Pelodiscus sinensis: one gene and its partners. The protein of the gene in region 1 interacts with the protein of each later gene in a biochemical or structural test. Links are inferred from orthologs where the notes say so. Each region holds a gene or a part of one and is shown in the gene's direction. Other genes may lie near its edges.

Evidence for each region.
Region 2: of the proteins of SIAH1 (region 1) and HIPK2, one has a biochemical effect on the other in vitro, tested with the Homo sapiens proteins (4 studies listed by BioGRID, with this or other methods). The link is inferred for Pelodiscus sinensis from reciprocal best matches to the Homo sapiens genes SIAH1 and HIPK2.
Region 3: the proteins of SIAH1 (region 1) and SNCAIP form a complex in vitro, tested with the Homo sapiens proteins (2 studies listed by BioGRID, with this or other methods). The link is inferred for Pelodiscus sinensis from reciprocal best matches to the Homo sapiens genes SIAH1 and SNCAIP.
Region 4: the proteins of SIAH1 (region 1) and POU2AF1 form a complex in vitro, tested with the Homo sapiens proteins (2 studies listed by BioGRID). The link is inferred for Pelodiscus sinensis from reciprocal best matches to the Homo sapiens genes SIAH1 and POU2AF1.

What each region holds. Positions count from the first base shown.
Region 1 is NC_134722.1:28,842,086-28,849,778, reverse strand, and holds the start of SIAH1 (E3 ubiquitin-protein ligase SIAH1), read left to right. Parts: upstream 1-4,687; 5' UTR 4,688-7,693. UniProt on the Homo sapiens protein: E3 ubiquitin-protein ligase that mediates ubiquitination and subsequent proteasomal degradation of target proteins.
Region 2 is NC_134711.1:100,536,480-100,543,872, forward strand, and holds the start of HIPK2 (homeodomain-interacting protein kinase 2), read left to right. Parts: upstream 1-4,385; 5' UTR 4,386-4,506; coding exon 4,507-4,525; intron 4,526-7,393.
Region 3 is NC_134716.1:55,040,534-55,047,560, reverse strand, and holds the start of SNCAIP (synphilin-1), read left to right. Parts: upstream 1-4,023; 5' UTR 4,024-4,864; intron 4,865-7,027. UniProt on the Homo sapiens protein: Isoform 2 inhibits the ubiquitin ligase activity of SIAH1 and inhibits proteasomal degradation of target proteins. Isoform 2 inhibits autoubiquitination and proteasomal degradation of SIAH1, and thereby increases cellular levels of SIAH.
Region 4 is NC_134736.1:6,300,756-6,307,712, reverse strand, and holds the start of POU2AF1 (POU domain class 2-associating factor 1), read left to right. Parts: upstream 1-3,945; 5' UTR 3,946-4,087; coding exon 4,088-4,103; intron 4,104-6,957. UniProt on the Homo sapiens protein: Transcriptional coactivator that specifically associates with either POU2F1/OCT1 or POU2F2/OCT2. It boosts the POU2F1/OCT1 mediated promoter activity and to a lesser extent, that of POU2F2/OCT2. It recognizes the POU domains of POU2F1/OCT1 and POU2F2/OCT2.

The sequences.
Region 1 (7,693 bases):
GTAGTTCATCTTTGTTAGCTAGTTCCAGGTTAGCCAAAGCTTCTTTTGTCTCCACTATTTCATGAAAAAAATTATGGTCTGTGATAGTCAGATTACTGGTCACTTTGATAATCCATTTTACCATTTCTGGGGGCATGTGTTACAGCTGGGTTTCCCAACCGAAAAAGGTTGTACACCACTGGTTTAGACCATTTTTACATTTCTGTGAGCACTGCTATCATTTTTCCCCTTTTCAACAAGTGTACCTTTTCAGCAAGTCTGTCTTAGAAGCTAACGCTCACACCTGACACTAGCACTGCCTTCTTTTGACCTGAATGGCTAGTCAGAGTTTGAGGCCCTAGGATATTTCAGTTAAGATGAGAAATTGGTGATAGCTAGGTATTTCTTTGATCCAATTTTGTTCATTTACAAGGAATGTATGTAGATCTCACCGAACAAAGGAGGAATCGAATAGGAGAGAACATCTTTTCTTGTTCTCAGCACCAAGAAAACACTTGTTAGCATGCACACAAAACTTATCACAGCAATAAAACCGCACACGAGCCCCACAAGCCTGACTCGGGTGGCACGAGCCATATGCATGTTTTTTCTTGACTGTGGAGACATACCCTTAGTTACTATTTCTCCCTCTGCGTTCTGCTCCTCAACTTTCCTTAAAGAAATGCTGGGTTGTTGGGTTTTTATTGGTTGTTTTTTTGTTTGTTTTTTGTTTTTTTGGTCCTAGGTGGTGGCTTATCCTTCCAGTTACGTTAATTGAAGGGTGCATTAACACCCCCTCAGTCAAATGAGGTTTTAACTTAACCAAAAATTAGGTTTCATCCAGCTCATAAGATAGCTTTTAAAAAACTGGTCTTGTTTTTCAGTTAGATCTGATCCACTCCTCTTCCATCTCCTAATTGTTTTTTCAACTTTGAATGAAGTAGGTCTGGATGACCTTGAAGACCAGAGTAAATTCAATTGAACACAGGTAGAAAGTCATGCATTTAGGGTCTACTAATTTCTGCTACAAGCTGGAGGATTACCAGTTGGAAGCCACAGATTTAGGGAAAGATCTGGGTGTGTTCTGGTCAATCACTGAATGACAATAAGAAACCAATATGTGGCTGCAGAAAAAGGCAAATGTGATTTGAGGATGTATCAGGTGAGGTATTTCTGCTGGAGGGAATCTGGAATACTGTATACATCTGATCGCCTGTATTAAAAAATGTGTTGAAACTGGAACAGATGCAGAGAAGTGCTACTGTGATGAATAGGAGAGTAGACAACCTATCTGAGGAGCTTGGAAGAGCTTGTTTTGTTTAGTCTAGCAACAGCAAAAAGAGGGTGGATATGATTAGTCTCTCTAAATACACTTTGTGTGTGTGTATACACGTATGTATGTACCAGTGATGGTGAAGAGCTATTTAAGCTAAGGGACAGTGTTGGCAGAAGAATAAATGGGTATAAATTGGTCATGAACAAATTCAGGATAGAAAGTAGAAGGATTCTAACCTTCCAAGCAGTAAGGTTTTGGAATAGCCTTCAGCCCTACTGGGAGATGAGACCAAACAAACAAACTTTTGCGAGAGGGCAGGCCCAAATATAAGTGTTGATAGAGTATTTTTGTGATGGTGGGGAGTAGGGGGTAGCAGTTCTGAGAGGGTTTATTTCGGTTTATGTATTACGTTCTTAAAACTTATGTTTCAAGGCTTCAGACAGCTACCTGAAGAGATCAGGAAGGGATTTTTCCTCTGTGATGTATTGCAGAGGTTTTTTGTTTCCTTTCTTTGAAGCATCAGAGAAGGCCGTTTTTGCAGATAGGACACTGAAAAGGCTGAAATGGAGCACTGAGAGGGCCCCAAGCATTCTCTGTCTCAGGTACTTAATTTGCTGGTTATTCCTCCTGTTCAGGGTCCAACTACTTGCAGTATCTGGGGTTAGATGGTAATTTTCCCTTAGTGATTTTGGAGGACTTTCAACTTCCTGTGCATCATGGGTAATAGGATGCTTTCCAAGTTTAACTGCGTATATTTAATTTAATCAGTTCCCTGTAATCTTGTGTGTTGTGAAACTTGGATTGGCTGGTTAGGCACACTCCAACACCAATAACACAGAGATTAAATCATTGGTTATGATATTCTGTTAAAAAGAAAAAAGTGTTAGTAGCCCATAATCTTGAGATCATCACACAAAGCCAACTGCTGATTACTTTATAATGGATGTTTCTTTAAAAGTTAAAACAATATCAAGCATCATGTGGAATTAAAAAGATGACTATTTATTAGCAAGTCTTATGTTTATAGCTTTATTTTTGTAGAATCTGTTCTTTAGAGTGCAAGTTTAGAGCTTGTCTGCAGTGGGAGTTATTCAGAAACTACTATCCCAGAATAATATGTGTAAATGCTGCAGATGTTTAAAAACAAACAAAACTATTAGTGGATTGAATTTCAGTCTGTTAAATGCTCCACAGACTGCTGGGAGTTTAATTAGTAAGGTTAACTGATAAGATAATGCTTATTGGTTAAACTCTTGCATCTCTAGAGTTACTCCTGTTCTTGAATAAGAGTACCTTGTTTTTGTTTAGTTTAATACACCTTTACATTATCAATTATAGTGTAATAAGTGAGTCTAACCCGATTACAGGCAGTCCCCAAGTTACGTGGATCCGACTTATGTCGGATCCGCAGTTACGAACGGGGCTTTTCTCGCCCCGGAGGACGCGAGCGGCAGGACGCCCAGATGCGCAGCGGCTGTTCTGCTGCCACCATCCTCCGAGGCTTTGCTCCCCGTCTCCCTGGTCTGCTGGGGGGAGCCCCCCCCCCCGGCAGACCAGGGAGACGCGGAACAAAGCCGCGGAGCACGTGGGCAGCAGGACAGCCCAGACGCACCGTGGCTATCCCGCTGCAGGCGTCCTCCGAGGCTTTGCTCCCCGTCTCCCTGGTCTGCTCCCCACAACAGACCAGGGAGACGTGGAGCAAAGCCGCGGAGGATGCGGGCGGGACCACGGTGCGTCTCGGCGGGACCGCCACCCGCGTCTTCCTGGTCTGCTGGGGAGGAGAGGCGCAGCTAGTGTGCGCCCCCCCCGCTTCCCCCCAGCAGACCAGGCTTTTCTCGCCGACAATGCCTGGGGCAGAGCAGCTGGGGTGCTGCCGGGTTGGTCCCGCAGCGCCGCTCCTCGGCGCTACTGGACCAACCCGGCAGCACCCCAGCTGCTCTGCCCCAGGCGTCCCCAAGTCAGCCGCTGTAGGTTTGTTCTTAAGTTGAATTTGTATGTAAGTCGGAACTGGCGTCCAGATTCAGCCGCTGCTGAAACTGACCAGCGGCTGACTACAGGAAGCCTGGGGCAGAGTTGCTCTGCCTCGGGCTTCCTGTAATCAGCCGCTGATCAGTTTCAGCAGCGGCTGACATGTGGATACCTGGAGTAGAGCAGCTGGGTGCAGTGGCTGAATCTGGACGCCAGTTCCGACTTACATACAAATTCAACTTAAGAACAAACCCACAGTCCCTATCTTGTACGTAACCTGGGGACTGCCTGTATATAAAATAGTTGACACTGGATTTTCACTAGACAGTATTTCAGAATTGATAATGCAGTCCATAGCTCTGAATACTGCAGAATCAACAGTTTGCATTTTTGAGCTCTTCAAGTGTGAAAACATGGTGTAGGAAGAACACAGAAAAATTCTCTAAATCCATAATCTTTAAATCACTGACTTTCCGAACTGGTACATGTCTTGTGTAAATGATCTTTTTTTATTAGAATAGTCCTTATTTTGCAACTGTCAGTGGTTGGTTCATACTGCATTAGGTAACTCTTTTTTTTATTATATTAAACCAACTTTTGTATGCAAGAGGGGTTTGTGTAAAGAGACTATAGCTCCCTGACACAAGTTCTGGAAATGACAACAGTTGTTGACTTTTGTATAACTCTGTAATAAATAAGAGGGAAACATATCAGACACAAATGTACATCAGGATAATTCCATGACTATTGAAAGTGAATGGGAATTATTAAAATTTATAATTGATCTGACTTTCAGAAGTTTGTGTAACTGTCATGTGCAGTCTAGAGACACCACAACTGTTATTGAAGGTCAATTGAGTGAAATTTGACTCTAATAAGTAGTAAGCGTGACTAGCTTTCTATCTGAACTGTTGCTAAGCTTACCTTTCTGTATGAGACTGGACTGCTGTTTAACTCTTTATCTCAACTATTTAAGATTCCATTGCAAACCAGAACTTAATTCTTCAAAATGAAAGTCTCAGAAAGTTAGCCATGTTAATCTGTAACTTTAAAAACAATGAGTAGTCCTGTGGCACCTTAGAGAATCTATATCTATATCTATATCTTTATCGAGAGAGCCCTGAGCCTTCTTGGGCAAAACCCACTCTTTCAGATGCGCTGAAATTGGAATCCAGAATTTATAACGGAAAAAGAAGGCGGGGAGGGGGGTGATGGGGAAGGAGTACCTGCCAATTGTTGTGCTGCTGTATAAAATCAGCTTTCCATGCATTTAACACCTCATTTACATAAAAAAAACTAAGTATGGGATACTTCCAGCCCACTCAGCTGTACTTTTTGTTTTTCTCTCCCTTTTTTTTCCATAAAAATAAAAGTTGATGAAGAAGCTAGAGATTTTGTCAGCTAGGAGGAGCCGTTGGACTTCTGAAACCTCTGGAAATGTGGGTGAAATATAGCTATTACGACTAAAAATATCAGCACAATTCCTAATATCCTACAGTCCTGTCAGCACCAGATTAAATCATGATTTTTGTAACCAGTTAGAGACATGGTCACTTTAACAGTTACGTGTATCACACTTCAATTTATGTTTAAATAGAAGCTTTTGCGAATATCGACCTATGATTATGCCAGCACTCATTGGGGTAGGGTTAAGGACTAAGCCTGCCAGAATTCATGTTAGGGTTAAGTTTTATTAGCATGCATGTAGGCTTTTTCATTTTGAAAGAATATTTTCTAGAATGTTTTTACCTTTTATAACTGATCATCACTATTATCAGTATATTAAGGGAAAGCAAACATATCTGTTTAGGCAGAGGGTCTTTGATGGGAAGTGCATTGTGAAGGAAGGAAAATGTTTTTCTAGGACATTCCTTGATCAGAAGGGAGTGAGACATGGGTCTCCAGCTAAAAGAGGCTACAACTGGGAGAGCTGGAAGCCTGTGATTGAGTGCCCATTTTGGACCACTGAGAGGAGCAGTTGTCTTGAACTGATATACAGTTCTAATAGTTTTCTGTAGTCTTCCAGGGAAAAAACAAGGGTGGTCAAACTCTGAATTTCTAATGTAGTGGGAAACACTTTTTTCCTTTAAAAAAAAAAAAAAAAAAACTTGGACGTTTTATACATTATAGAACTCATACACAATGTTTTGCCCTTTTGCAGGCAACCTCTGTTTGCTCTTGGAAATCTTGGGTTTACAGATTTACTATGTTTGTGTTTAAAATGTGCCTTTATGTCTTCACTATTACTGTTTCACGTACTTTTACAGTAATCCCAGGTGCCAGTTTTCCAGAATCCAGTATGTTCAGTACTGGATAAGTTCAGCTGCATCAACTTGATTTTTTCCACTTGTGTGAGGATCAAGAATACTGGGTACAGAAATGGTCAGCTCATCTCGAAAAAGTTATATTGGCATTAGCAAGGCTTGACAAACTGCGGTGAGAGCTACTCGCCAGCCCCACACCGCGCATGTTCCAGACCGGCACTGCGCATGTGTGTAGCGCCGGTGAATGGGGTGCACAGAGCGACCAGCTGAAATCTACTCACCATGGGCGAGTAGAAACAGTGGTTTGTCGAGCCCTGGGCATTAGGAAAAGGTTTAGAAAAGGGCAACAAAAATGATTAGGGGCTTGGAATGGGTCCTATTTGAAGAGAGATTAAAAAGACTTGGACGTTGCAGCTTAGAAAAGGGGAGCGTGCGGGGATATTATAGAGATCTATAAAATCATGAATGGTGTGGAAAAAGTAAATAAGGAAAAGTTATTTACTTGTTCCCACAATAGAACAACTAGGTCACCAAATGAAATAAATAGGTAGCAGGTTTAAAACAAAAGGAAATTTTCTTCAAACAGAGCACAATCAGCCTGTGGAACTTCTCGCCAGAGTATGTTGTGAAGACAAGGACTTTTAACAGGGTTGCAAAAAGAGCTAGATGAATTCATGGAAGTTAAGTCCATCAACGGCTATTAGCGGTGTCCCTAGCCGCTGTTTGTCTGGAAATGGTTGACAGGAGAGGGATCACATGATGATTACCTGTTGCGTTCCCTCCCTCTCGGGTATCTGGTATTGGCCAGTGTCCGCAGACAGGGTACTGGACTAGATGGCCGTTCTTAAGTTTAAAAACTGTGCCATTTCTTAACAGCTCCATGGAATCTTCCCACACACCTGTTTTCTGCACTCTTGCCTGGGTTCCTCTGCCTTCTGGAATAGTCTTTATGTAGGAAGTTTAACACATTTACAATTCATTACCACCCAAGTGTCAGAAGCAAATCAGTAAAACTAATCTGATTACTGGCTGCCAGCTATCCAATTTTCAACTGGACTGCCCAGTCAAAAAGGGACCCTAGTGGCTCTGGTCAGTACCAATGACTAGTCTATTATTAGGATTGCCAGGTGTCCGGGTTTGAACCGGACAGTCCAGTATTTGAGCTTTCTGTTCGGGAAACAGAGAAAATATAAATGTCCAGTGTCTAAATAAGATGTAATGTAGTTTGTGATGTAATGTCAAGTGCGTCCCGTTTTTTTGTTGAAACCATCTGGCAACCCTCCCTATTAAAAGTGCCACCAACTGGATAGTAGGGCTGATGCAGTTATGCTGTTGCTTCCAGGAGCTGCTTGAGTTAAGCAGTAAGGAGGTTGCATCCCTGAGCTCAGCCTACCCCAACCTCCCTCCCACTCACTGAACCCTTTGATACTAGGCTAAAGCCTCCTCCTGCACCCTAAGCGTCTCATCTTCAGTCTCATCCCAGAGCCTGTACCTCCTCCTGGAGCTACAACCCTCTGTCTTCCCCCATGCCTCAGTCCCAGCCCAGAGTATCCCTCTAACCCTCAAATCCCTACCCCTATCCCAAAAGTCCGAACCTCCAGCTGGAATCCTTATCCCCAGGGCAGCCCAGCCTCCATAAAATGAGAGATGGGGGAGGGGGAGCAAGTGGGAGTGGAGCCTTGGAGAAGGGGCAGAGGCAGGGTGCTTTTATTGTGGAAGTAGAAAGTTGGCAACTCTCTTACGGGCTTGTGGGGGACAATACTTCATAGCTTTTCTCTCTTACATGCTTTAACGTCACATTTTCAAAGTGGATTTATAGGTTAGAATAATACTGTTACAAATAGGTATACAAAATTGTGGTTGTGGTGTTGTGTAAGCCTGTTGGCTGCTACTCAGAATACTCATGTACAGGAAAAGCAAGAAATTCAGTTATCAGCTGTTGGAAACAGCTTTAATCAGTTAAAATTCCGCAGCGTATTTTATACGGGGCAGTTGAAGTAGCTTCTAAAAGTAGCAGCGAGCGAGTTTCTAGCGCGTTGTAGGTAGGTGGGGCACCACCCATTCTTTCCCGGCGTTTCGGAATGTGTTTTGCTGACGGCACAGCCATCTCGGCTGATCACATGAGGTCGATATGCCAGGGTGGCTCCCTGGGCCTGGGGGAGGGAAGGAAAGGCAGCACGCAGGAGCTGCCGTCTGCTTTCTCCGC
Region 2 (7,393 bases), on another chromosome or scaffold:
TCTTAGACTAAGTATCTGCTGCATTTGTCTCTGAGTCATGGTTGACAAAATTGATGATGCTGTTGTCTGGGCAGTTCATGAGATTCTATTTATACACTGGATTTTATTAGTATTATCCATTTGTAAAAGTATCCAGAGCATGGATTCGGGTGCTTAGGATAAATTCAAAGCCATCAACAAATGCAAATACATAATACAGCCAATTCACCTGTGCTTTCCTAACACAAACTAGATCCCTGCCTCCTGTGGAAGACCCGTCAGAGGGTCGAAAGAGGAGAAATACACTATGAAGGTCCTCTCTGGTGGGTGGTGTTCAAATTTGAGCAGCAGCGCCTCTAGCCAAGCCTGTGAATCTCAGGGATCCATGGGGAAGGGCAAACGCATGCAGAGCTTGGAAGCCTCCCACAGGGACCACTGAACCAGAGTGGCAAGGTCCCTCTGTAGTGTATCCAGTTTGGCAGGAATCTAGAAAGAGGCAAAACAGGTCTGAGCTGTGCTGGATCCTTAACAGATTTCTATTTGTGTGCATAGGGTTACCAGGTAGGTTTAGAAAAAATACCGGACACTCTTGATGGGGAGGGGGACCGGCTGGGAGGGGGGCGGGGCTGGCCAGGAGGGGGGATGGGGGCAGCGCGGCTGGCCGCGGGACATGGGTACAGCCGGGGGGCAGGGCTGGAGGGCGGGCGATTGGGGGCAGCGCGGCTGGCCTGGGGAGATGGGAGGGGTCGGGGGCAGCATGGCTGGCCTGGGGAGATCGGGAGGAGAAGAACTGGCCGGCAGGAAACAGGGGTGGCCGGGAAGGGGTCAGGGGCAGCGGAGCTGGTCGGGAAGGGTCGGGGGAAGCGGGGACGGGACTCAGGCATGTGCAGATCCCGGGGCGCTGTCAGTCCTGTGCACGGTCCGGAGAAGCGCAAGTCAGTCCGGCTGTGTCTCCACCATGCATTCAGGAGCAGGGACAGGGCTTCTCTTTCTCCCCAAAGTATCAGATGCAGCCAGAGCTCCCAGCGCCGATTGCGCCCCGCCTCCCAGCCATTCCCTCTACCCCCACCAGGTTTCCGTCCGGCGCCCAGCCAGAAATCCAGGAAATACCGGACATTGCACAGATCTGGTATTTTCTGGATTTTTTTACCAGACAGAGGGCCCAAAAACCTCTACCGGACACCTGGCAACCCTATGCAGAGCAGGGGAATAGTGCAGCAGAGAGAGGCACTTCTTGTGCTCTCGCAGCCCATCCTGCCCCTAGAAACCACAGACACACTTCCAGAGGGGCTCCTGTGTGAGGTGGGGAAGGATACCAGTGTTACTGCATGGATGTTCATTTCCTACCACACGGCCTACATATGGTGGGGTCCTTTTCCAGGTGCTATATCCAGGAGATGACCGGAGAGGGGGTGGGGGGAGGGAGAAGAGAGACTGGCCGGGTCCTTGGGCAAGGTGGGGGAGGCTGGCTCCACTCTCCTGGAAGGAGTGGGGACTCAGTCAGAAGGACAGGTCTGGACCTCATGCTGCACTGTCCATCCCACCCCCTACACAGTCCTAAGAGCAGCCTAGATGAGCATGGCACTTTGACGGCAATTTAAAGGGCCAGGGGCTCTGGCTGCTGCTGCCCAGCTGAGATCTCTGGGTCCTTTTGAATTGCCGGGCTCCGGGGCATGTTCCCCTCCTTCCCGCCCCCCCTCTAGCAGGCCTGGGCCTGGACAATAGTCAGAACTGCTTTTATCTGCCAGCCTAGGCAAGAACTTGATCAGGTCACAAGGTTGCTTTCAGCAGGGATTATATGGCAGTAGGAGGGACACCCTAAACTGGTATAAATAGGCACCACTCCATTGGTTTTACTAAAGCTGTGCCCATTCATACCAGCAGAGGATCTGGTCAGGTTATTTTTGTAGTGTTAACACATCCTAATGGAACATAGAAATTTCCACACCAAGTCAGACCATCCAGTCCAGTCTACTGTCTTCTGCAGATGTGGGGTAATCTGTCCCCCAAGATGATGTTGTCCTAACCTTTAGCAGACAGAAATTGACATAAGCTTTGATGCAAGAGGCTTTAAATGCCTGTGTGTGCATTTAACATGCACATGTGTGTAGCAGAACCTCTCCATAGCCAGTGACCCATAAAGGGAAAGCCCTGAAGAGGACTACTTTGCTACTTCTAGACAAAATTAAATCCACTTAATAATTTTGAGAAAAAAACCTGGCAAAAGTCCCCTAATTTTTCAAGGTCACATGTTATTTTGGCTTTGACAGAAGTAAAATTCACACAGAAATCAGGGGCTACAATGTTGCTCAATCCAAAATAAGGGGGAAATGTAACTTCCACCTTCAAACAGCACTGACTATTATCCCCATTTTACAGATGAGAAAACGAAGGCACAAGCTTCACTGAGGCTACACAGGAAGGCAGATGAAGAGGCAGAAAAAGAACCCAGCTCCATAACTCCTATTCCTTTTCCTTCCCTCTGTCCTTTGATACCCTACAAAATTATTCTACATTTGCATCCCTGCCCTGAAATGCTGCCCAATAGCTGGCATTCTTGTCAGGAAGCAGGATGCAGAAAAAGGCTTATGAAATAAATATTCATGATCCACACAAACAAGTGACCTCCAACTATAACAAGAGAATTATAGGAATAAGAAGACGGGAACTCAGGAAATAAGGATGACAACAATCTGTAATTAGGGGGCAATTATGTCCAGGGCCTAGAGCAGGACATGGCTATGTCTAGACTGCAGAGCTTTTCCAAGGAACACGTCTGCTTTTTCGGAGCAATTTCCGAAAAAGTGGACATGTTCTTTCACCATCCCTGTAATCCTCATTGTATGAGGAAGAAGGGATGAGCCGAAAGAGGAGGTTGTTCTGGAATTTGGCCCTATGTAGACGGGCCACATTTCAGAAAAGCCTCTTTCGAAAGAAAAGCGGAAAAAGATACGCAAAGTGCGCTTTGCAATTTGCATATCTTTTTCTGACTTTTCTTTGCAGTCTAGACATAGCCTCATAGTCAGAAGACTAAGGATCAGATTGTCAAAAGAGTTCAACTTCCAGTTGGGCACTGACCTAAGTGAAGGTGTTGGGTGCTTAGCACATACAATTCTGGCCACCTCATTTAGGCGCCTAAATGGGATCTGTTGAGCACCTGGAAAATCTTGTGCCAGGCCCTGATCTTGTAAAGAGTTCTGTGTATGCAGACCCATGTGGAAGTTATTGGAAGACTGGAATCCTAGTTTTTTGGTTCCACCTTTGTCATAGACTTTGCTGTCACTTAATCTTTCTGTGCCTCAGTTTCCCCATTGCTATAACATGTATACAGTTATTTACCTTCCTCTGTGAAGTACTTAGGAACCATTGCTTGAAAGATGCTTAGACAATAAAAGGTTTTCTGTACAGCACACGTCAATGGGCTGAAAACAAATGATTATGTGAGGACTGGCATTTCCCCAGCAATAACTGCGAGAAAGAGATGGAGCTGTTAAAATGAAAACAGGAGGAGGATCACAAGCTGTCAATCTCCATAAGTAAATACTCATTTGCTGTGGTTCTTTAAAAGAGAAAAATTTTGAAAGCTACAATGTCTTTGTTTTAAAGGCAGCCTCTAAATATTTACACTGCAAAAACTGGACTGAAATGCGGAAAATGGGCTTAAAAATCCCCAGAACTTTTGTCAGAGAAACAGACTGTGAAATACTTAGAGGGAAAAGAAGATTTATTTGGGGAAGGAGAGGGAAAAGAGGTAGGAATTTTCCATGCTATTGTAAAACATCAGCTCAAATTGTATGATCTCCACAGCCAGTGAATTGCAAAGCTTCAATCAGCTGCCTTTTTTTCTTTTCTGTAGGGGGGGGGGGGGGGAGAGAGACAGAACTGTTTCACCAACTTCTGTTGACTGTTCCTTTTTTTCTCCTGATTGAAATGTGTTGTTAAACAAGATCCCACATAATCTCAGTAGAGGGTTTCTGTCTCTCCTCTCTCTCTCTCTCCTTCTGGGAAACTGCGATCAGTGCCATCGGCATTTGATTATTTGCAAACTCCTTTTGCTTTTTTTCCCCTCTCCCCCTCTCTGTCTCTGTCTCGCTCTCGTTCTCGCCTCCAATGCAACTTTTGCAGAAACCCCCAACACACACAGACATGTTGAGCTGAGAGCTAGGGGGATCGGCCGAGTCCCCCCTCCCCGACCCCAAAGTCCCAAATCTGGGGGGGGCTCTGACCACCTCCCCCACCCTTGACTTGTCCACTGTGCATCGACCTCCCCATACACACGCACCTTTTTCACTCCCTGCTCCTTTTTTTGGTGTTGTTTTTGTTAGATGGACAGGATCAAGGTTGGATTTTTCTGTCTCTCCCCCGATGAAGTGAGGCGGTGATGCAGGAGGCTGGCAGCTTCGACTATACGGAGAGACACAGGCTCAAGATGGCAGATTTGTATTGAGTTTGGGGGGCTGAGATCTCGCTTCATATTTTTAATGTTTTAATATTTTTTTTTGCCATGAATAACACATCATTGCACCGATGGCCCCTATGTACGAAGGTAAGGCAGCTCTGTGTCTTTTATTTCTTTTCACCCCTCCTTATCCCTGGGCTTTGGCCATCTCCAGGCACCCCTACACCTCTCACCAAAAAAGAAAAAAAAGGTGTGTGGGGGGGAGAGAAAATCAGCACAGCTTTGAGAACACTGTAGTGGATTTTTTGATGAATGGCTCTGCCTTGTTTAAAATTACTATTCTTCCTATTCGTATGAAGGTTGATTTTAATTTACTCTTCCATGTCTTCCTCCCCTCCACCTCTGCTGCCTTGTAAAATTCACCCCCTTTTATTTTATTTTATTTTATTTTATTTTGATCGTTTCGGTCCGTGATCACGGAGGGGATGGGTGGAAAAGTCCATTTCACTGCCGAGCCGAACAATGAAGATTGGCTAAGATTGCCCTGTAATTGCTCTCTGTGTGTATGTGTGTGAGAGAGAAATGTAGTTTAAATGCAAGAGCTTGACCCCCTATTCCTTTAGCCTGTACTCCAGAAGGCATTTGCTTTGGTGTTTTGCTGGTCCACTCTATTGTAGGGTATAAACACAAAAGCATATCTAGGCAGATATGTCAGGAAAAACATCTAGCAGCAGTCTGTCAGTTCTTTCAGTTTCTAGTTAAATCCAAGCGGGGATTGCAGTGAAAATTGAAAGTGAACTTATTTTTTCCCCAGTTTTTAAATCTCTCTCTCTCCATATATATTGTGGGCGCACGTTTAAAAATAAATCCGGCTTCATTTAAATCACCTAGCGTTGTAGTTCTTTCTTTCCGTCCCCCCTTCTGGTTGAGAACTGGTGAAAGAGCATTTATAGAAACCCCTGAGTTTCTGTGGTTTTATGCAGAAATATCTTGACGATCGATTTATATAGCACGGGAGATTTTAATGTCTGGCCAGGGAAGAGGCATGCGGGAAGCAATACTTTATCTGTAGTGTGTCTGATAAAACTTATCTGAGAAGAAAATCTAGTATTAGTTGGAGGGTTCTAAATGAACTAGTTTTCCTGGCCGTGTAAAGTTCCCCATGTGCCTATTGATGCCTAGGATGCTTCGGGGTGGTTTAAAATGGCATGGCCTGGAAATAGTTTGAACTCTAAAAAGAAACAAAGGGGATTGTTTGTACGCAACACAAAATAAGTGCTATTCCAGTCCTTTCTTCCACGATCCTGAAGAGCATAGGCTTAATGTCGCCATTATTTCCCCCCTGCAATTTGAGTTAATGAAAGGCAAATGCAACAGATCTGTTAAAAGAGAGAGAGAGGGAGAGCTCTGAGGGACATGTATTATTAAACTGTAGCTGTAAAAAGGGGCTACAGTCAGTGCTGGAACTGTCTGGGGTGTTGAAATGAAATGAAATAATGTTTCTCTTTAAACACCTCCCGAACTCGCCCTCTGCTGGACGTTTAGGGTCTGGTTGAGAAAAGAAACTTGTCACTGAATGAAGAATTGTTAGGAGAGGGCTTTGCCCTTCCAAGGGAAAAGAAGCGTCTCGGTTGGGGTATATCTTTCTTCGGAAAGGTGCTGGTTCCTGGCTGGATGGGATGCTTGTGGTGGCAGGGATGCAAACAGAAAAGGCTAGCGGCAGATAGGTGCCCACCCTACTCTGGCATTGCCCCTCCATCCTCACCTGCCTGAGTCCCTGCTCTTCTGGTCCTGGGTTCCAGACTTCCTAGCTGTGTACCGGCATCTGAATCTTTACCAGTCCCATTTCCCTGCTAGCCTAGATTTGGGGCCTCACAGAAGGTAGCACTGCCAGTGTGTTTTAATCCTGACCAAATCAGTTCCCTGCTACGACAGTGCTGGGCTGCTTACAAGCTAGTCCAATGCACCCCGGGCCTGTCTTGCATCACCCTGCCTGCTGTCCCTGCCTGGAGCCTCTCTGCAACAGAGTCTAATAATCAGGTTGGGTTATGCAGTGATTTTCATGATGTGAACTAAAATCCACTGTGGGGTAGGATGAATCTACCGAGATCATGTTCGTTTATGATCACCTTCAGCTCTCCAGAGGAGGGACATCTCACTTCATGTCCCACTCACTCCCTTGATTTGTCAATATAATGGTGAACAGTGTCCATAGAGTAGAGTGAACATGATTTTCACCTTATGTCCTTTGAAGGAAACTGTGCTCATTTCTGTAAGCTTTTTTCTGTGAAAGGACATGGCACCACCCCCAATTGGGACAAGTTATAGGAAGAAAGAGTCTAATGGACATCAGCCTGGTGGAAGCCAACATACGGGATTCTTTTCTAGAGTCCTGGTGAGAGATGGAGGCTTTTAGGGGGAGTGGAGCAGTTACTGCACTCTCACTTCAGCTTCTTCAAGGCACTTGGGTGACTGAAAAAACCCGACAACTTATAACGAAGGCCTGTGTATATATATCAGTTTTGCAACAGGGAAGGTCCTACAGCAAAACTTTGCAGCCTGCTAAGATATCCCAGTCCTTAAAGTGGGCAACCCTGCAACATTCCAACTCTCTGTAACCAAGGTAAGGTCTAAATGGGGTTGGAGTGCAGGGGAAATGGTTAAATCCTGGATAGTCTGCCCTCCCTAATAGTGAAGAGAGCTCTTCTCAGTTCCTTGACACATTATAGGGTATGGATGGAAACCTGTATTTACTTGCATGTGGAATGTGAATCTAATCTTAAAAGGTGAGTGTGTGGTTCTGATCTTTCCTTCCAGAGTTGATAGTTTCCATATCACAGGCTCTCTCGAGCTTTCCTCTAGCACATCAGGTACACTTAGGGCACTGGTGGAAGTACCATAGAGGAGGTGTGATCAATGTGACAGTTCCTCTTGAATCACTATTGTAACACACATACCCCTTGCTCACACCCCAGGTCACCACCAGCACCAAAAGGTGAGAAGAGGTCTTTCCCA
Region 3 (7,027 bases), on another chromosome or scaffold:
TCCTGGGATGCATGCTTCTCAGCAGAGAAGTAAAAGATCATAAGATATTGTCAGAGAATGCTATGCCCTCACTTTGCTGCCAACTGTTTCCATGTGTTCACTAAGGATGTAAAATTTTGATTATTTGGTAATTGAATAATCGATGCAATTTGTATCAACTACTCAATTAGTCAATAAGGGTGCTTACGCTTTTGAAGTGTAGCAACAGCCCTAGGGCTGTTGTTATACTTCAAAAGTGAAAGCACTATTGGGAGCACAGGGCCAGCATGGGACTCAACAGTCCCCAGCTGACCCTGGGCTCCACGTGGCGTTTCAAAGCGGCAGTGCCACATGGAGCCCAGGGTCAGCTGGAGACTCCTTCATTGACCCCTGGCTCCACACGGAGCTGCCGCTTTGAAGCACCCCTTCCCCTGTTCCCCCGCTGCCTCTTTGTGATAGAGGCAGCAAGGTGGGGAAGCAACTAGTCGACTAGCCTATCGACTGTCCGATAAGCATCATTTGACTAGTTGTTCACATCCCTAGTGTTCACACAATGCAATTTGAAACGAACAGGGGTTTTGTGCAAACATTATTGGTGCGACTTGCATTCTGAGAGTTACTCAATGTGCATCAAAAAGTTTTGGATTAACTCTCCCATATCCTACATGGTTTGAATAATGTAGTCTACTATATGAAAAATTTCAAGTAGGGAGAATACAGAATGGGTTTGAAAGACTAAAATCAGGGCTAATTTGAATCTGTCCTATTTTTTTCAATCTTTCAAAGTTAGGAGGGGAAAATGTCTTTAATTTTAGCTCACCTGTCTGAAATAAGTTAGGCTTTTAGAGGGGAATATTTTTCACCAAGAATTAAAGTTGAGTGGCAAACTTAAAACAAACAAACAATTAATTCCTGAATGCCCCTAAATAATATAAAAAGGAAGCATTCATAGTGCAAGTTAAAACTTACCCTTTGTTATTTCAAAAGATGTTAATGCAGTTTCTCTGCAATAACTAGTTCTTACTTAAAGTGACACCCATGAGAACACATGATTGTATCACACTCACCATAAGTCATAGATTACCATACTGGAAACTGGAGGCTGACTACAGATATAAAGTACTGTACATTCCTTTATTTACAGCTTGTAGAATTTTTGTAATTGCTTAATTTTGCAAGCTGTGGGATAGAAAATACAAATATTATTAAATTGCAAAATATTTTAGTTCTAGACTAAAACACCCGATATTTATTTGAAGGTCACAGTTAAAAACACAGGCCCTAATCCATTGTCCACTGAAGTTGATGGAATGATTCCTGTTCAGGCCCCTAGGATCTAGCCCTGCAACCATCCGCTGTCTACCTTCAGCTCCCACTCCCTATTATGGAAGCAAGACTGGTCTCTTACATACACACATGAAAGATACTCTTTACTCTTATCACATGCATTACCATGATCAGTCTGTCTGTAATACTAGAGCATTTTCATGTACTACTGAACTGATCTTGGGTAAACTATCTTTTAAAAAAAAGTATACTAGTGCCTATTTTTCAATAAATCTTGTCTGGAGATAAGATGGTAAGAGGGAAATATTCTACATTTCAATAAAGCCGTGTACCTGTTTGTATGCTATAAAAATACAGATGGGCTGTGTCTACACTGGGCCACTTATTCCGGAAAATCAGCCACTTTTCCGGAATAAGCTGCGAGCTGTCTACACTGGCCCTTGAATTTCCAGAATAGCAACGATGCTCTACTGTACAAAATCAGCCGCTATTCCGGAAAAACTATTCTGCTCCCGCTCGGGCATAAGTCCTTATTCCGGAACACTGTTCCGGAAAAGGGCCAGTGTAGACAGCCCAGTCGTCTTTTCCGGAAAAAAGCCACGATTGCGAAAATGGCGATCGGAGCTCTTTTCCAGAAAAGCGCGTCTACATTGGCCACAGATGCTTTTCCAGAAAAAGGGCTTTTCCGGAAAAGCAGCCTGCCAATGTAGACGCTCCTTTTCCGGAAAAACTGAAAACGGAATAGTATTCCATTTTAAGCAGTTCCGGAAATTCATGTCAGTGTAGACACAGCCCTGGTGTCCTGTGATTTTTTTAAAAAGAGTACTAACAGTACTGTGTAATATAAAGTACAGATATGGTATATCTTGCAATCCTTATAAGAACTGACCCTTGTATGCCAAGTTATTGCTTATATGGACATATAGGGCATGATCGGCTCTCCTCATTCAAGCAAAAACTCCCACCAAGAGTGCAGGAGCAAGTCCATAAACAGGAATATCAGCTCTACATGAGATATTATCACATGTAACACATAAAAATATACTTGGCAGGCTAAAAGGCTGCATTTAAATATAGAGTGTATTTATGGCCCCTAAATTACAAAATATACTGCTTTTCTTTTCCATAGACACTATGTTCTTCAACCAGGCATGAGCTATATGTGACATTGTGTTCTGAAGCTGACCTGTATTCTTTTAAAAACCATTTAATCACACACAGCTGACCAGAATTCCTTTAAAAAAACCACCTAATCAAATGCATTTGAAATACCCCAAAACAGTTATTTAATCTCTATGTAAGTATGAGTGTGAAATGGGCAGTCTCTGCATATGCCTTTTCCTAAAAACACTGCAATAGTGAAATCTTTCCAAAATAAAACCCTTCTCTTCCTCTCCCTGAATCAACACGCTCCTCAGATAGCGTTGAGACCATTTTAACATTTTAGGCATAGCACGCATGGCCTGAATAGAAAACCTAGAATTCATTGTAATCAACGTGCAAGCTTCTTTTCATACCATCTTAACAATATACATTAATTTTTTTAAATTAACACTTTTCATCCTTTGGGCAAGTGTACTGAATGAGCTGTGACATATATGAGAATACATTATGTTACAGGGACTAGATACCTCAAGTGAATTGATGGAACGCTATACTGTCTTTCATCTCCAAGTCACTGGTGCAAATGCAGATCAGATTAAAAGTGTTTCAAAGTAGTTATTATCTGATGGCTGTTCTATGGATGACATCGAATGGTGGTCTCAATTCCATTCCTAATGGGCCAAGAACTGTGATTCACTGGCTTCTCTGGAACTCTCATGAAGGCCAAGAAGTAAATGAACATGCAGACTGAAATACCACTCTGAATTCCTGGAGATGTTCAATCCAGAATGGGTTTAATAATATTAGTGATGCACTGGAGGAAACTTGTTACTGTTTGTGCTATATTTGTTCTGTAGATAACAGTTACCGGTAATGTCAAACCAGAATCTTTTTACATGCGTGAAATTCACTTTAATTTGCAGTATGCATCTTTGGGGCTTTTGCAGTGTTGCCTCATCTGAGACTGAAAATCCAAGTCCTGATTTATGTTTGAAATGTAAAACTGTATAAAATCTCTGGGGAGTCAGTGAGAAAACAGGATAAGTCTAAAAGGTAGACTAGAAAATGTGTGTGAACAGTGATTTAAAAAAATCCCAGACACTTCTGAGAAAACATGGCAGAAGGGAATAAAATTAAATTATGAAAAAGAGGGGAAATGCATTTAAAAGAACTTTCACTGCAGCTAAACTACCACTTAGCTTATGGGTAGTGTTTTCCTGTTACCTCACACTGAAATCACAATGGTTACCACTTGAGAACCTTGTAACAAACAATTACCGTAATGTTTAAATAGAGTGACCACCTGGCCCATGTTTGACTAAAATAGTCTACATTCAGAAGCAAAGAAACAGTTTGTAACTATGCTAACCCTCAATAACATGAAATAAAATATGATTTTCTAACAGAGGGAGTTAACATGACTTTAATGGAAACATATTCCATACATTGCAAGGGTGCCACCAACTCCATCTGTATCTACTGGAAGGAAAGCATGATGTGTGCTTTCCAGGTTTTATACTAAGCCAAAACCCACGGTTTTATTTTAAACAGATGTGAACGAATTAAACCCAACATTTTCAGGTATTTTTAGTGCAGTATGATGCCATGTGATTAATACCTTATAGCATGAGTTGATGTGTGTTTTCACCTTAAAGATAGTTTAAACCTCTGTTTAAAAAATTGTGCCTGATGTTGCCAGCAAATTAGAACACGGGGTCCTATGTTGCTACTTTTTGCACAAGTTGGGCCCGCTGCTGGAGTGGGCTGTGTGACAGCAGGAGCCCCGCAGGGAATACTGTGAGCACCAGGGTAGGCGCCGCCGGTCCTTCCTTGCTGCTGCAGGGATCCTGCCGAGCGGGATGGTGCTAGGAGCGGGCTTTTCCCCTCAGCCCTCACCTGGACCGAGTCTTCTCAAGGAGCGACGAGCCCCCACCCGCCAACGGTTCGACCTGCACATCCGCCCCGCGTGAAGAGCGTTTGTCCCCCGCGTGTGTAGGGGCGATTCCGGGGCTAAAAGGGGGGGTCACACCCCCCTGCAGCTGCAACCTCCTCCAGTCCCCTGCACGCCCCAGTGCCCAGGGCAGCGCGGCGGGGCGGGAGCAGGGGCGGGCTGTCACAGCGGGGCGAAGGAGAAAGTGCAAGAAACACGCGCGGGGGCGGGGGGAATCCAGCGGGAGGCGAGGGCCAGGACGGGGCTGCGGCGGGGCCCGGGGGTGGGGAGCTCCCGTCAGTCAGGCTTGCGGCGGGCAGCCTCCAGCGCCTCCGCCCTGCCCGCCTCCCCGCCCGGCGGCGCCTCGCTGCTCATCACGTGGCGGCTCCCCCCAGCCCCCCGAATTCCCGGCGTGGGGAATGGCCGCGGCGTGATTGTGACGCAAGCAGCGGGCGGCCGCGTCCCCGCCCGGCGGGCCGCGTTCTACCCGAGCGGGAGCAGCGGCAGCAGGAGCAGCGCGAGCCCCGGCCCCGCGCAGCAGCACGTTGGCCGGCGGAGCCGCGGGTGAGTGAGCCAAAGTTCCCTGGAGCCTGGGCCGGGCGCAGCCCGCGGGAGGGGAGCAGCCCAGCCTGCGGCTCCAAGTTTGCATGGGGGGGAGGAGCAGCACCCCCTTTCCCTGAGCACGAGGAGGGGGATCCCATCCCTTCCGGCAGCGCAGGCAGGGGACCGCGCGGCTGGTCTCGCGGAGAGGAGCGCCTCGCTGCGAAAGGGTTAGGACCCAGCCGGTGTCTATAGTAACGCTGCAGCCAAGAGGTGGTTTTAGCCGGGAGATGGTTGACACACAAGAGGCAGCAGCTTCCCCGCTACCTTGTGGGGCATGGACGCCCCCCTTTCTTGGCTGGCACCCTGGCTTGTATTGTCGCTGGCATCCTGGCTTTTAACGAGCCGCCTTGTGCAACACGGGCACCATCTCGTACAGGGGGACGTGAAGGGTTGGGTGAAACGAATGCACAGAAGGATACTGTGGGAAGAGTCTGTCCCCCCTACCCCACCTCTAAACCAGCATGCAGGACTTGGACATCCTCAGCCACCTCTCTTGCTGGGTTACAGTGTGCTTTGGTTTTGCTGTTTGCTGAAATGTGACTCCTTTGCTTTCCTTTGCTGATGACTTTCATCTGCAGGTGGTGAATGAGGTAAAGGGTTATTGTGGCTGTTGTCGAAATGCCAGGGTGTGTTTATTTTAAATACAAAACAAAACAATAAAAATGGGAGAAGAAAAATTAGGAGGCTGTTACTGGCAACCACACAATTTCCACAGGAAATGCTAGCATTCTTCGCTGAACTCTGCTTGCAGAGAAGAAATAGGCTTCAGAAATAACTATTGTTGACAATTTTCAGTGTTCCTTGAACAAAATCCTGCAATATAATTATCTGTTCCTGTTGTATTTTTGGCTTTCCTCTGAGTAGCTGGTGAAAAAAATGCCATTCCCGTTGTTTCCCTCTTAAAAACAAGTAACAGAGCCTTGTGCTTCTTATCAGTTTATGATTGACAGGTATCCCTCAAAGAAGAAAAGCACCCTCCTCTGTAAAAGAAAAGAATGACAGCAGATAAAAGAGCCTCTTCTCTCACCCTATGAAGTGGAGCAGCCCAGGGTTGTGTTTTCCAAATGAAATTATGGTTTTATCCGAGGGATTTAATTAGAGCTCAAGCATGTATATGAATGATGTCAGTTCTCCAAAGTGGCACTGTAAAAATCATTTTCTATGAAATTTGAAGCCAATACAAATTTATTTGTGTTCTGTTCTGAGCCATATATCCCTTGTGGGGAAATGGCTTTAAACACTATATATTCTACTGGTACATTTTGATAGTTAAAAGAAAATTGAAGAAAAGTTCACTGTTTTTATACCTTAAGGAAATGTTAGTGAAAATAGCTTATTCCTTTCTTTTTTAGTTCTAAGAACATTAATTACAGGTCTATCTAATGGGAGGACTACAGCACAGATTATAGTTAAATTAATCCAAGGCTAGTCTAATAACATAGGGTTGAATGTTACAAACTGTTTACTTAAGCTGATATCAATGGGAGTCCTTGTGTGAGTAAAAAAAACTTGTATGAGTAAGGGCTGCAGGGTCAGACTCTTAGAATATAAATTAGCTCTGAAATATACAAATGCTTGATCTAAATCAGTGTTGCCAGCTCATGATATTTGATGTTTGATTTACATCCTTAGCGCATGGAGACAATTGATTGTGAATTTTTTTTTTTAAGAAAGGGCTTGACTAGAGAGAGGGTAATGCACAGTATGAAAGAGCCTTCAGTGTATACCAGCAGGGTATACACAGACTAATTTATGTACATGACATTAGTACACTATAGAAATCACACACTTAATAATGCCTATCACCCACCATGTAAATAAGCCCTAAATTTCTAGTGTTATGGTTGCAGAGAAAAGCTTTGAAATATGATAGCAGTATACCCTAAAGATTAAAAAACAAACAAACAAAAAAAACAACACCCCAAACTAGAAGGTAAATAAAAACAACCCACATTTTATTAGTCTTTAAAATCTCCTGATTTTTAAGCCTTGATTTTTTTAAGGGCCTGATTCGTGACTTTTGAACAATGAGGTTGGCAGTACTGTGTCTTGCTTCCTTCGAAGTCAGTGGGAACAGGTTCACATCCTCCAATTAGAAAATAAAAAAATTCCACTTGGTGTAGT
Region 4 (6,957 bases), on another chromosome or scaffold:
GAGATCATACCACTTCTGCCTTATCTCATGTCATTTTATCCTGCTTGCATGATTTTTTACAATATTTTATTGTAATCTCTCCGGTATAGTGGTCCTTTTAGAGTTGGGGATACTGTATGAAGTTTTGTGGGACTGCAACCCAGCCATTCTGAACTAATTTTGGGAAAGCACTGACGTAGTTCTTGTGCTGTCCATAGACTTAGTAGTAGAATATTAGAGTCTCTGTCATAGTAAAGAATTTGTTGTCTTGTCAGATGGGGCTTCCAAGTAGTGACTGCACGCTTTTCTTTTCTCACCCCTCCCCCTACTCCCCGCGCCATATCATTCTGTTTGCACACAAGTACTTCCTCTGTATACCCTTGGTTGGGATCTTTGAAGCTGAGACCTATCACGTCTGAGTAGCTGTATCCCTGGACCCATGCAGAGCCCCACTGAAGTCAATACGATTCTGTACAAGTTCAAGGAACTGTCCAGGTGGACCTGATTTTAAGCCTGTGATGGGTGCTTGGTGTGTACAGAGCAATTACATATGCTGTATAGGAATGTTATTCTCAGCCCATCGGAAAGTGGCATCCTTGCTCTGTATATGGTACATTATTAATCTAAAATATGCAAATGATTATTGCTTAGGCTGTTTTGTGTCTATAATATCTAATTATTGTGGAGCTTGTAAACCTTTTAGTCTCTGAATATGTGACTCCAAGGTGGTTCTCATCAACAGAATGAGAAAGTCCACTTTGCAAGTGAGCCACCAACTTTCATAATTTGGTTGATTTATAGTGTGGCTCCATGTGGCGCTCCTTGCAGTAGTTGAATATTGAGCAAAGGCCTGCTCAAGAGAGCGCATCCAAAAGAAATGGCTCCTGCCTTCGGGTCATTGCTGCTGTGGGATCAACTGATGGTATACTCATAGACCGTGAACTTGAATAGGAAGCAGTAGACACATGTCTTCCGTTTTAACGGAAGATATAATCCTTGCCATATTTTCTGGTTGCTTCCCTCGTGCTACCTGTGTTACTTTCATTTTGTCTGGTCAGTTAACTAGTCCTTATCCAAGCTCTACTTGCTACCAAACACTGAGTAATAATATTCATCATGTGAAGCAAAGCTATTTTTATTACATGTAGTAAATTGGAAGATCCTTTAGTTTGCTTTGTACTGTGTTTTTTCTATCAAACTCAAATAAAGTCTCGGTGATAATGTATGGGGTTGTGTTTTGAGGCGTGGCTCTTCAGTAATACATCAAAGGCTTATCTTATAACTGTGTTAAAACATGGAAATGGATGACTGACTATCAAACCCCAAAATAGTTTGGGCTGTTTTTATCTGTGGATAACATGCTCTTTGCAACTTCCTCATTTGAGATATTTACTACAACAAGACTTTAACTGTACAATTTCAGATAATGAAAGTATCAATATAAAGATGTTTTTAAAGTATTTAACTTTGGTTGATATAGTTTAATAAGATTTAAAAATTACATTACACCTGTAGGTGTGAACTTTGTGTGAGTGCATAATATATAATTTACACATATGTACTATGCTATACACTTGTGCAAGTTGCATAAGCACGTATGTCTGTGTGGAAATCTCAGAATTAATCATACACAATAGATATTGTGCAAGTAATTTGAATGTGTGCAGATATACATGTACATCTTACATGCCTACTTTTGAAAATTTGGGCCATCCTTGATTTATTCCTTGAAAGAAACCTGAATATGAATTTCAGTTACCATGATATTTAAACTGAAAAAACAACAAATAGTCTGGTAACACTTTATAGACTAAGAAAACATGTAGATGGTATTATGAGCTTTCCTGGGCATAACCCACTTCTTCAGCAAAATACAGGACTATGTAGAGTATAGTATGTTGATCTTAATGGATTGAGATACATACATACATAGTCCTGTGTTTTGTTTCAGCTACACCAGACTAACACGGCTACATTTCTACCACTTCTTCAGATGAGTCATCTGAAGAAGTGGGCTATGCCCACAAAAGCTTGTGCTACCATCTGCATGTTTTGTTAGTCTATAAAGTGCTACCAGACTATTTGTTGTTTTTTCAGTTTACCTGTACAGACTAACTTGGCTACCCCCTGAAGCTTCTGAACATGATATTTAAAACAGCAATATCAGAATGTAATTTCCTTATAAGGATTGGTCAAGAATATATTTCTTTAAAGTACTCTGCATTTTTTTTACTCTTGCTCAGACTATACCTTACTCAAGCAAAACCATAGTTGACTTCTCCTTGCAACTCCTTGAGACCATATTTTAGGATCTGGTTTTAAACTGAACTCTTATTAGCTTGTGCAGGAATAATCTGGCCCTGGTTTTGAAAGGGCTTGGCTTGTTAGGAAAATGGTTAGTGTTGTTATCAATATATATATATTTGATATATAATACAGAGTTAAGTGCTGTTACAATGCTATACAAAATTCCATTAGCTGAAGGGGAAATTGCAATACATTTTTGGTAACTGAAACATAACAAGAGTGTGGGAATTTTTCTTACTATGGGCATAATCAAAACCCCATTGAAATTCAGGGACTCTCATTGAGGCTACATCTACACTATAGCTCAGATCAAGACTCTGAGATTGAACCACCGGCAGTTGATTTAGCAGGTCTGGTGGAGACCTGCCAAATTGATCACAGATTACTCTCCCATCTACCATGTTACTCTACCCAGGAGAAGAAGAGTCAAGAAAGTCAACGGGGGAGTTTTTGCCATCGACCCTTCTGCAGTGCAGAGCCTGTGGTATCTCAACCTATTCACATAGGTAGATTTGCATAGCTTACATCGGTTTTCTGACTTGGTGTAGATGTAGCCTGACTTGAATGAGCATTGGACCAGTCCCTATCTTACATGTCTACTTATGCAGTGTTAGGTAATCGAATGCCTACTGTTACTAAGCATTAACAGTAAAGAGGATACTACATTGCATGATTGCGAGTTGAACACTAATATAGCTATGCAAAATATGGCTAAATAATGCCACCATGAGCTATGGGATACAGAAAATGTGGTAGATGCTATTCTTCATTAAGCAAATACAAAATTTTTATTGTATTTATTTATTTTATTTAATACTGAGAGGTCTGAGAAAATATTTGAAGGAGGTAGATACATTTTAACTTTATAATCTGCATGTGATTTGATCATCTTTTCTTGTTAAATTTTAAACAAATTCTACACACGTAAAGTAGTACAACATAGGGTCCTGATTCTGAGAGGTGCCTCGCTTCCTTAACTCATGCATTATACTCTAAGACCCCAATTCACTTGGGGTAGTTAGTAACTCATTTCTGCAGCCATCCCTTTTTTAATAGGAAATGATGTATTTCAACAAAAACAAAACAGAAAAAACAGAGTTTCTTTTTTAAATGAAGGATGTCGTCGTTTAATGAGGCTTGAAGTGTTTACAGGTGTTTCCTCATGAGTTCAGATTTAGTGACCCTGGGGAGTTGAGATTCTCGGAAGACCGGAGAAAACATTGCTCAGGCTTGTATTTTAAAACTGTTAAGCACTGAAGGGCCTGATCCTACTCCCGGTGTAAACTGGTGCAGCTCTGTTGAAGTCAATGGTGCCATGTTAATTTAGACCAGCTGGAATCTGTCCCTACATATGCTCCTCTCAACACAACAGAAGATCAAAAACCGTATTAAAAGATTCTCGTATGTTTCTGCTTTAGTATCTTATGGGATAATCTTATAGACCTTGCTAAGGCAAAAATCCTATTGACTATAGGTTCCGGACCTTAGTGTTTGTTTAAAAAATGTTTAGGTGATGTAACGTGTCTTTTATGCATAATATCTTCCAGTGCACTCTAGTCTTGGAGAAACTGCATAATGTGGTGAAGAACAACACATAGCAAAGGAAAATATAAAGTATGTGTGGTTGGAGGATGTGATGACATCACGTTGCTCAGCGGGAACGTAGGGCTTTTAAAAAGCTGAAGGAAACATCCTGACAGCCAGTTATCACATCACTTGTAAAAGGAGTAAAACACAGTTAGCGATTTAAAAAGCCAAACTCTCCTCTTCAAAGAGAAAAGCCTCCGTTCTGCCACAGAATATGCACTGGCAAAAATGTAAGTGAGTTCTGATTGCCTTCGTTTTTCATAATTACAGTAGATATAAGAAGATACAGTAGCTACAGTAGATATAAGAATAATAGCTCTAAGTCACTATTAGAATGGCATGGCAGATTTTTACTTCCGAAGAAGTACCTAGTTTGAGAGAGACAGTTACTAAAATGTGTGATGCTAATATTCCAGCATGGATATTAACACAAGACAGCAACACTGTTTTGGCATTCATCACTTTGAATCAAATGGCAGAGTGGTTCATAAAAACAGTCACAGGGCTGCACGGTATCAAAGGTAACAGTTGTTACTTGCCAGTTTTCATTTTTTAAAGTAAAGGCTGATATAACTTTTTTTTTAATCTAACTTCATATGGACACAACTTTTACCAAAAATGATTTTGGGCAGGAAAAGGAGTGTTACAACTTCCTTTACCTCTCCGCTTATGAGTCATACATTAAGGGTCACAGCCTCGCCAAGTGTAAAACAACGTAACTCCATTGTAAATGGAGCTATTGGCATTCCAATGGGAGCCATGCTGATTTACACCAGTTGAGGATCTGGCCGTTAGTTACTAAACTTTTATTAAAGATAAACACAATTGTTGACTGTATGAGTTCACTTCTTACATAAGTATTGAAAGAGAGAGTGACAGATATAAATGATAAGGGAACAGAGCAGAGCTGAGGCAGTATGGGCTCTAAGTTGCTATATGTATAGACGTCGTTATACCCAGGCATTTTTTTTTTAATAATTTTGTTCTATTTTGTCCCATCTTTCCTCAAGTAGTTCAGTCCTTTTTCTAACAAACATATAAATTTGTACTGTTTCTTTTAATTCTTTTATTTTCTGCAAGCATATTTCTGAAGATGATGTTTGTTTTTTTGCAACCATAGGAACATCCTCTATCTTTCACTAAACTATTCACTTAACCTATAATACAACATACCTGAACGGAAAAGGTTAATTTCTTAAATGTTTTCCAGTGAGTTGACTAACATGGAACAAAGTTGAATCTTCTTTTCCATTAGGTTAGAGATCAAAGAGTAAACAACGATGACTTTTGTTTGTATCTATCATTCTGAGATAATCAACAGTCAATCATGTTTTCTTTGTAACACATTCGAATATTTTCGTTTGTTTTATTTGACAATTGCATAGTCATTTTTTCTTTAGGTAAAAATATGGATTTTTAAAATGTATATTACGGACTGCAAAATCAAATAGCAAGAAGCTCCAGCTATATTTTTTTTCGTGCAGCTTGAGTTTGTATTGTAACACAATATATAGTAGACTATGGTAGCTACTGCAGCAACATTTTTCTTCTCATTATCTTTTTCTCTTTTCAGAATCAATAGTGCATATTGCACAGAATGTGCAATCTAAAAAACTGCAGCAAGATCAGAGTCAAATGTAATTTAGTAGCTAGGAAATCTTAGATGTCCATTGCACAGACATAGGTCTATGATCAAAATTTGCTGTCTTTAGCAGAGTTGGAATGATATTCATACTGAATATTGCTGGGGTATGTTCTTCCCTTGTATATACACAAATGCTTTAAAGATTCATAGGAATTACAGGCCTGTGTTGAAAGTGGCCAGGCTGCTGTACTAGAGGTTGATTGTCCCACAATGTGAATATGTAGCTCCCATTTGACAACTTCAAAGCACTACAATGCTTGTGCAATGCCTTCCTATCTGCAGAGCACCCCCTCCAGTTCTCAATGCAAGAATCTGTGATAGCAATTCTTATTGGACATTTCAAAACATATTACAAGAAACAGCAATTGCCTTAATTGGCTTCCTCAGTGCGGAGGTTTTTAAAACCCAGCAAAGAGTTGGTAGTGCAGATGTATCTCTGTTTGACTTCTGCTCAAGAGGATTTGGGGGCCAGATTGAAGGGATGCCTCTTAGAACAAGGAAGGGGCAACAAAGATTTTTGTAAATGGCCGACATGTTTGAAATGATTATTTTTGGTGCTGAGGTTAGACCTCGGTATCAGTTTTAATTTTTATTGAAATCAATACTTTCTAAATATTAGCACCATTGCAACATTCTTAAACTTGCTTTTTCCCTAAGTCATTTTGATAACTAGTTAATTGCTTTAGCAATTAACTAGAATGATCTACTGGTTAGGGCACGAGATTGGCACTCAGGAGAGCAGGATATGTCACCTCAAGAAGGGATGCAGACAGGCCCACTGCTGGGATGGATGGAGGTGGAGGGCAAAGAGGGTAGTTGCCCCAGGCCCTGGTAATTTCAGAGGTAACTAGAGCTCTGAGCCCTTTCAATCACTGCTAGGACCCCAGGCAATGCACTATGGGTGACTGGGAGCTGGCTGTGGGGAGGTGGCACTGTCCGCATAGCACTGACGGCTGGTCGGTCCCAGCCCCAGCCCTTCCACACAAGGACCCGCCCTTTCCATGGGGCCCCGCCCCTTCCAGGCCCTACACACACCTTGCTCACACCTTGACCAGCAATTTGTCAGCTTCCTTGGATGCAGAGATAATTATTTCTAGACACCATGAATAACTGCCTCTTTTACTCGGCCGTTTAGCTACAGTGGCATTCTTTGGTTCGCTTATTATTGGAGCAACTTATCTTTAAACCCACAAGGGAAGAGGCAATTCTTGATTTATTCCTGAGTGGAGTACAAGTTCTGATCTAAGAGGTGAGCATAGCTACCCTGCTTGGCAATAGCAACCATAATGCAATAAGCTTTAACATCCTTGTAGGGGGGGAAAGGCCAAAGACACCCACCATGGGAGCATTTAATTTAAAAAAGGGGAACTACACAAAAATGAGGAAGCTGTGTTAATGGAAAACTAAAAGAAATAACAACAAGAACAAAATGCCTGCAC